Coturnix japonica: one gene and its partner. The protein of the gene in region 2 purifies or fractionates together with the protein of the main gene of each other region. This does not show direct contact. Links are inferred from orthologs where the notes say so. Each region holds a gene or a part of one and is shown on either strand. Other genes may lie near its edges.

The links. Proteins that work in one complex are often made in the same cells at the same time.
Region 1: the proteins of CAMKV (region 2) and AHCYL1 purify together in Homo sapiens (affinity purification with mass spectrometry; 3 studies listed by BioGRID and IntAct, counting the BioPlex papers as one, with this or other methods). This does not show direct contact. The link is inferred for Coturnix japonica from reciprocal best matches to the Homo sapiens genes CAMKV and AHCYL1.

The regions. Positions count from the first base shown.
Region 1 is NC_029541.1:1,678,395-1,682,498, forward strand, and holds the start of AHCYL1 (S-adenosylhomocysteine hydrolase-like protein 1), read left to right. Parts: upstream 1-1,300; 5' UTR 1,301-1,486; coding exon 1,487-1,594; intron 1,595-3,655; exon of another isoform or gene 3,656-3,873; intron 3,874-3,961; exon of another isoform or gene 3,962-4,083; intron 4,084-4,104. UniProt on the Homo sapiens protein: Multifaceted cellular regulator which coordinates several essential cellular functions including regulation of epithelial HCO3(-) and fluid secretion, mRNA processing and DNA replication.
Region 2 is NC_029527.1:1,485,430-1,489,540, reverse strand, and holds the start of CAMKV (caM kinase-like vesicle-associated protein), read left to right. Parts: upstream 1-1,274; 5' UTR 1,275-1,394; intron 1,395-3,766; 5' UTR 3,767-3,780; coding exon 3,781-3,875; intron 3,876-4,111. UniProt on the Homo sapiens protein: Does not appear to have detectable kinase activity.

The DNA.
Region 1 (4,104 bases), on a different chromosome or scaffold from region 2:
CATCAGCACTGGGGTGGCTGTGGATGGGGCACCGTCGGACCACAGCCTTCCCTATGGGGCAGCAGGGACCACAGCCCTCCCTATGGGGCCGCAGACTGCTGACGGGGCAGCGCCGTCCCGGAAAGCACCGCGGGGCCGCGGTTCCCCACTGGGGGTTATAGGGACGGAACGGAGCGATCCCGGCCACCCTGATGGGATGGAGGGTTGTGTCGAGTGAGGACCGGCCCGGGCCCGATCTGCGGTCAGACAGAGCAGTTTTGGTTAAGGGGAAAACTATGAGCTGCGATGCTGCAACGCTGCTGGCTCTGTGGGTTCATCGCTGTGGGGCTGGAGGGGGGACGAGCAATGAGGGGAGGTACATGTGTGTAACCCCATTGCTGGGTATGGGGGGGGTAAGGGTGGGAAATGGGGATCCCAAGGGGGAAGCGGAGCCATTCAGTGCTGGATGGATGGATGGATGGATGGATGGATGGATGGATGGATGGATGGATGGATGGATGGATGGACAGCAGCACCATCAGCCCGTATCAAGGAGGGACGTGGCCCTTGGGAGCACCATGGGGGGCTGAGCTGAGGGTGCTGACCCCCCCCCCCGTGCATTACAGCCCATCCCAGCCCGTCCCCACCATGATGGATGCTTGTTCCTTGGATCTGGCTGCCCCTAGAGCTGTGCTTGGGGCTGCCCTGACCCAGCGCAGAACAGAGAGCTCAGCCCTCCAGGAGGATGGAAGGGAGGTGGGTGGGGGCGAGGATTCTCTGGGTCCCTTCCAACCCAAACCATTCCATGTCTCTGTTTCTCAGTTTATTTATGACTGAATCAGATCATAGTGGGGTTAAGCTTCTTTATTCATTCTTTTATCTGTTTATTTATGCATTATGTCCTCATCCTCATCCCATCCCATCCCATCCCATCCCATCCCATCCATCCTCCATTCCAACCCATCCTCCATCCCAACCCATCCATCCTCCATCCCAACCCATCCCATCCCTTCTCACCTCATTCCCATCCATTTTCATCCCATTCCCATCCCACCCCATCCCATCCCATCCATGCCCATCCCATCCCCCGCCATCCCCATCCACCCATCCCCATCCCATCCATCCCATCCATCCCATCCCATCCCATCCCATCCCATCCCATCCCATCCCATAGTCCTCCCGTGGCGGTCCATTCCCCCCTTCCACCACTAGGTGGCGCCATGGTGCCGCTCCCGTTTCCATCCCGTCTCTTCTATCTCCCCGCCTCACTCATCCAGCGGCCGCGTGATGACGTCATCACGCACTAACGTCACTCCAGAGCCGCCCCCGGCGCCCCGCGCGGTGCCCGCAGTGTCCGCCGCATCGCGCTGCGAACCGACCGGAACCGAACGGAACCGAACGGAACCGAACGGAACCGAACGGAACCGAACGGAACCGAACGGAACCGAACCGGGGCGGCCCATCCCTCCTCCTCCCCTTGTACCCCTCCGTTCCGCCTCGAGACACGATGTCGGGCCCGGAGCCCAGCGGCGGTGAGGAGGCCAAGCAGGCCAAGGAGGCGGAGGACGCTGAGAAGTTTTCCTTTATGGCCACCGTTACCAAAGCGCCCAAGAAGGTACAACGGGATCGATAGGGGCTGGAATGGGGCCTATGGGGCTGTATGGAGCTGTATGGGGCTGTATGGGGCTGTATGGGGTCAATATGGGGCTGTATGGGGCTGTATGGGGCTGTATGGGGCTGTATGGGGCTGTATGGGGCTGTATGGGGCTGTATGGGGCTGTATGGATCTGTATGGGGCTGTATGGGGCTGTATGGATCCGTATGGGGCTGTATGGGGCTGTATGGGTCTGTATGGGGCTGTATGGGGCTGTATGGGGCCGTATGGATCTGTATGGGGCTGTATGGGGCCGTATGGATCTATATGGGGCTGTATCGGTCTGTATGGGGCTGTATGGATCGGTATGGGGCTGTATGGATCCGTATGGGGCTGTATGGATCTGTATGGGGCTGTATGGATCGGTATGGAGCCGTATGGGGCTGTATGGAGCCGTATGGGGCTATATGGATCTATATGGGGCCGTATGGGGCTGTATGGATCTGTATGTGGCTGTATGTGGCTGTATGGGGCCGTATGGTGCCCTATGGATCTGTATGGAGCCTTATGGATCTGTATGGGGCCGTATGGATCTCTATGGGGCCGTATGGGGCCGTATGGGGCTGTATGGATCTGTATGGAGACTTATGGATCTGTATGGGGCCGTATGGAGACTTATGGATCTGTATGGGGCCGTATGGAGACTTATGGATCTGTATGGGGCCGTAATGGGGAGACTTATGGATCTGTATGGGGCCGTATGGAGACTTATGGATCTGTATGGGGCCGTATGGATCTGTATGGAGCCTTATGGATCTGTATGGAGCCATATGGGGCCCTATGGATCTGTATGGAGCTATATGGGGCCGTTTGGATCTGTATGGGGCCGTATGGATCCGTATGGAGCCCTATGGAGCCCTATGGAGCCCTATGGAGCCCTATGGAGCCCTATGGGGCCATATGGGGTCGTATGGATCTGTATAGGGCCTTATGGATCTGTATGGAGCCGCATGGGGCCCTATGGATCTGTATGGGGCCGTATGGGGTCGTATGGATCTGTATAGGGCCTTATGGATTTGTATGGGGCCGTATGGTGCCATGGGGTGAGAGCTGAGTGCTGCCCCACCATGTAGGGCTGTTGTCGGGGCTTATAGGTGGGCACATCGCTGTGTGCTGGGCTCAGGGTGTCCCCATTGGGCTCAGTGCTTTGCTATGGGTCCCCGTGTGCTCATAGTGGGGACACAGCCCCCATTGGGGACCCCCCTATGGGTGGTTATGGCAGCACTGGGATGTGATGGGAGCGGAGGGTTGGAGGCTGTCGTGCCCAGCTCTGTTTATTCAGGCTTTGGATGTGGCCTGAAGGAAGGAGCGGAGGAATGTGGAGCTGGGAGCTTGTAGGGGGGGTTTGTGTTCTTATTGCTTTTGTATTTAATGGAGCTGGGCTGGTCATGGAGCTGATGGTAACAGGGTGAGGCTGTGGCTGAGCTGGGAGCAAGCAATGAATCCTGGAGCATCATACCCACGGAATAAGAAATAACCTCAGTGTATCCAGGGGGAATCCTGGTGTTCTCAGAGCTCTGTCTGTGCTCGGGTTGGTTTGGGATCCTTCCTTACCTCGCTGTGCTGCTGTGTGCATTGAATTGCGTTGCATTGCATTGCGTTGCATTGCATTGCATTGCATTGCACAGCACCAAGAGCAGCCGTCACACTGCAGCGCTGTGATGGTGGAGGTGCCCTGAGCCACGGGAGGCATTTGATGCTGATAACATCAGCGTTGCATTGAGATCCTGGGGAGCTTGCAATGCAACTGAGGTCAAGGAACAAAGCGCTCGGGGCTGCTGCTCTCCTTGCATGGCTGCTTTGTGCAAATAGGGCTCAGTTATAGGGGAAACCTTGGCAGGAGGATGAAAGGAGAAGGATGGAGAATCACCCTGCAATACAGCGCTGAGTGCCCCCAGCTCTGGGCATTTCAGATGCTTTCCAATTGCAATGGAACCATTCAAACGCCTCTTGGTTTTAATGCAAGCCAAAGCTGCTTACGGCTGCTCCGAGCGTGGCCAGCATTGAAGATGGCTGAGAGGTGGAGCTGGAGGACACAGTGTGTGCCCTGATACTGGGATGGAGCTGAGCTGTGTGAGCTGAGCTCCTCAGGGAGCAGCTTTGCCTTGTCCCAGTGCATGGGGTGGGTGTCCCCAGCTTGGAGCCCCCCCTTGAGCACAGGGGGAACACATGGGCTGCATCGGAACCCTTCAGCATCGCTCTCCTGATTTGCTTAAGGTGAAAAAGTGAAACAGCAGGAGGTAAGAGATTAAAAGATTACACGCCATCGGATTGAAGTCGGAGCTGCAGCCGTCAGAGCTGGGGGTTCCCTGCAGCAATGCGGCCGCTGCTGCTCCAGGAGCTGCTGGCGTCGCCTGCAACCTCTTGCAGCTCCTTTGCTGCTCTGCTTCCCGGGGACAAAACAGTGGGAGCCATTGGGCTGCTGGGCAGGGAGAGCTTTGCAGGCAGAGGTGAGCGATGCTGAGCCTTGT
Region 2 (4,111 bases):
TAATAACAGAGCCGTGCGCTGCTTCCAGGCTGTGTGATTAAACTCTTGATTAGAAGCTCAATGTACGGCGCTCTGCTAATTCCCCCGAGCTCACGCGCTGTTAATTACATGGTGTGCGTGGCAGTGAGGCCGGGGCTGTGGGGGCTCTGGGTCTTGACAAGGGTCTGTGAGCAGTCAGGGCGAGAAGGACGGAGCCTGAAGGAAAGTGCCCAGCTCCAGCAGGGTTGCACTCTTCCTATTCCATCCCATTCCATCCCACCCATCTTTATTCTGTTTAATCCATCCCACCTTGTGCTGTCCTATCCTATTTTATCTTATCCTATCCCATCCCACTCATCCCACCTTGTCCCACCTCATCCATCCCATCCCATCTAACGCATACCATTCCATCCCATCTCTTCCACTGTCCTATCAGATCCTGTCCTGACCCATCCTACCCATTCCATCCCAGCCATACCACTCATCCCATCGCACCATCCCATCCACCCCATCCTATCTCATTCATCTACTTCCATCCCATCCATCCTATTAGCCCCATCCCAATCATCCCAATCCATACCATCGATCCCTCTCTATCCCATCACACTCACCCTATCCAACCCCTCCCAATCATCCCAATCCATATTATCCATCCAACTCCAGCTCATCACATCAATCCCATCAAATCCATCCCAATCCATCCTATCTCCTCCAAATGTCCTGTCCCGTCCTATCACACCTCATCCACCCCATCCCACCCGTTCTGATCCATCCCACCCCATCCTGTCCCATCCTACGCACACCATTCCATCCATCCCATCCCATTACACCCATTCCATCCAACTCACCTCGGTCCATCTTACTTCCTCTGTCCTACCCTGACCTGTCCTTCCATATCCCATCCATCCCAACTCATCCACCCCATCCCCTCCATCCCATCCCATCCCATCCATCCCATCCCATCCCATCCCATCCCATCCCATCCCATCCCATCCCACCCCACCCCACTCGCTGCCCATGATGTCACTCCGTTGGCTGCAGCTGTCCCAGCGCTCCATCCCTTTAGGTGTCCCCGCATCCCCCCACCCCTCGCGGTGTCACAGCGATGCCACGCACCCCACTCCCGTGGGTGGCGGCTCCCGCACCAAGAGGGGGCGGGTCGCAAAGTTTGGGGTTACGTCACGGGAGGGGCGGGGGGACCCCACCGGAGGAGGGGCGGCACCCGGCGGCCCCACCCCCCCCAATTGCCGCGCCGGGCGCGCGGGGCCGCGCCGCGACGGAGCGACGGCGGTGCTCGGCTCGGCTCGGCTCGGCTCGGCTCGGCTTCGCACCGCTCCGCACCGCCCGGCACCGCGCGGCTCCCCAAGAGCGGCGGCCCCGGGCCGCGCCCCCCGTTGCTGTCGGAGAGGCGAGAGGTGAGCGCGGCGGGACGGCCCCGGGGGGATGCCGAGCCGAGCCGGGCTGAACCGTGCCGCCCTCGGGGCGTGGGGCTGCTGGGCCGGGCCGGGGGCGTCGCTGGGGATCGCCATGTGTTGGCCCGGGGCTGCCCCTCCGTATCCGTGCCTCATCCCCCCGTGCCGTGCCCGTGTGCGCCCCGACGGCCGCCCCGCGCCGCCCCCCGCTGCCGCCTTCCCCGACCCCGGCGGGCGGCCGAGCTGCCGTCCCGTCCCAACCCCGCTCCATCCCCGTCCATCCCATTCATCCCACCGCATCCCGTACCACCTCATCTCGTCCCGTCCCATCGCATCCCACCACACCCCACCCCATCCCATCGCTGCCGGACAAGCTTTGTATCCTTCCCCGCCCGCTCTCCGCTGCTGCAGCCCCCAGCTCGCTCCTGGGCAGATGCATCCTGGTTGGGGGGCACCGGGCTGTAGGGACCCCCCGGCCCCGTCTCTGTCCGCATCCCAGGAGCTCCCTTTGGGTGCAGCGCTGCGGGCTCCCGTAGCCCCTCCACTCTGCTGCCGCCCGCACTGTGGACGCTTGTGTCCGCTTTCCTCTGCTACAGCACTCTCGTGGGATGGGGGGTGCGGCGGGGACCCTCTGGCAGCGCGGCTGGGGGCTGCAGGTGCGAGGGGCTGCAGGTGAGGCTGGCTGAGCTGCAGCTGGGGGTCCCCGAGCCGTGGGGCAGAGCTGAGCTCCGGGATGCTGGGGGGATGCTGGTGAGGGCTGCACGGCTGCGTCATCCCGTCCGCACCCGGCCACCCACCTCCCGCTATTGTCTTACACCCGCTGTTGCTTCTGCTCCCAAATTAGCTGCTTCAGAAGGGGGGGGGGGCCGGCTGCGTGCGGGTGCCAGAGCAGCATCCAGCCTCCCTGCTGCGCCCAGCTCTCACCTGCAGGACATGCCGGGGATGCTGACCCGGGGCAGAGGACGGTGCTCAGCCCGGCAGGATGGCACCCGCTCAGCCAGCAGGAGCTGCTGGGATGGGCGCAGGTCAGCCGAGCGCTTGCAGAGGCAGCAATCAGATCCCTATCTGTCATCCCATCGGGTCCCTGCATGGCTCATCCACGCAGCACGCCGGCAGCTCATCATCCCAGCCCTCCCAGCCGGCCACTGGCTGCGGGGACAGCCCTCGTCCCCTCGCCCAGGGGCAGCGGCACGGCACAGCCTGCGTTGTGTGGCACGGGGACACTCGGAGGAGTCAGGCAGGGCATGTCCCCTGTTGGGCTGAGCCCAGGGAAGCCAGGGAGGCTTCAGCAGGTCTGTAGCTTGGGGTTGAGTTCTTCTGCACCCACGGGTGCTTTGCTTCTCTTTTGGGAGTGGGCGCACTCTGAGTGCGATGGGGCCGGCTGCTCTCACCTGGCACAGGCTGATGCCCTGGTGCTGCACAGCGAGGGGCTCCCATCCCGCAGGCAGGGCTGGATGGAGGCAGCGAGCGCACGATGGAGCATCCCCACACCCCTGCATCTCTGTCCCCACACCCCCCTCGGGGTCACCCACCCCAGGGATCATCCCTGTGCCCGCACATGGTGCCACAGACAAGGCCCCCATCGGGGGTCGGCGCGGCATTGCCGGGGCTGCGCAGCGCAGCAGGTCGGGTGCTGCGGGTGCTGCCCGTCCCTGCCCCCGCCGCAGGATGTGCCGCTTTCTGCATCTTCAGCTCCCATCGCCATAGCAACAGGCTCAGCGCTTGGGTACCCGCCGCGCCGGCTCCTGCATCCCGCTCCGCCATCCTGCCACCGGGACCGGGGCGGCGGGTGCTGGCAGCGCGGTGCGGTGCGGCACGGCACGGCTTGTCATCCCGGGAGCTGGGGGCGATCGGTGCCTCAGGCACCACACCAGCATCCCGTTGGACGTCCCGCTCAGGCTGAGCGGGGCCACGGAGCCCTTCTCTTCCTGAAGCATCAGAAAATAACATCCGTTCAAACTTCCTCCCTGAACGGGATGGGAAAGAGGAAAAAAAAATCACTTTCTGGGAACGGGTTTTTTTGGCAGCAAGCTCCAGAGAAGGGGCTGGGATTGGAGGGATCCTGCCAGGAAGGCAGAGGGCACAACACCATCCCCGAAGGGCAGGGTGGCAGCATGCAGCAGGCGATGCTGGAGCTGAAAAAGCATCACCACAGGGCAAAATGGGGCTGAGGAACCAGTCTACTCGCCACACCACCCGGCGAGCTGCTCATGGCTCTGCCTATGGAATAGATTTGTTACCAAGCTGCAAAGCTGGTGGGGCAGAGCGGCCGGACGCCACGGGGATGGGCTGCACTCTGTCAGGTTTTATGCTGCTCAGGAGGGATGGGTGCGGGCAGCGGGGCTGGGGCTCTCACGGCTCCTCTGCCTCTGCAGCACTGGGCCCTGCGATGCCGTTTGGCTGCGTGACACTGGGGGACAAGAAAGACTACAACCAACCGTCCGAGGTGACCGACAGATATGACCTGGGCCAGGTCATCAAAACGTGAGTGCATCCCTGCCCAGCCCCAGGAGCGCCCATGGGGACCCCCACCCTGCACCTCTTGGGGAGCGCGGTGCCTTTGGGGCTGGGGTGCGTTCCCTCCAACGAGTGCTGATTCCAGGAGGGTTTTTGCCGTCTGCTCTGAGCACAGAATCGCTGCCGGTGCTGAGGCTGCTGCTGCTGCTCGCCGCAGCCTGGCGCCTGCGGTTAACCCTCCCTCCTCCCTCTCAAATATCTGC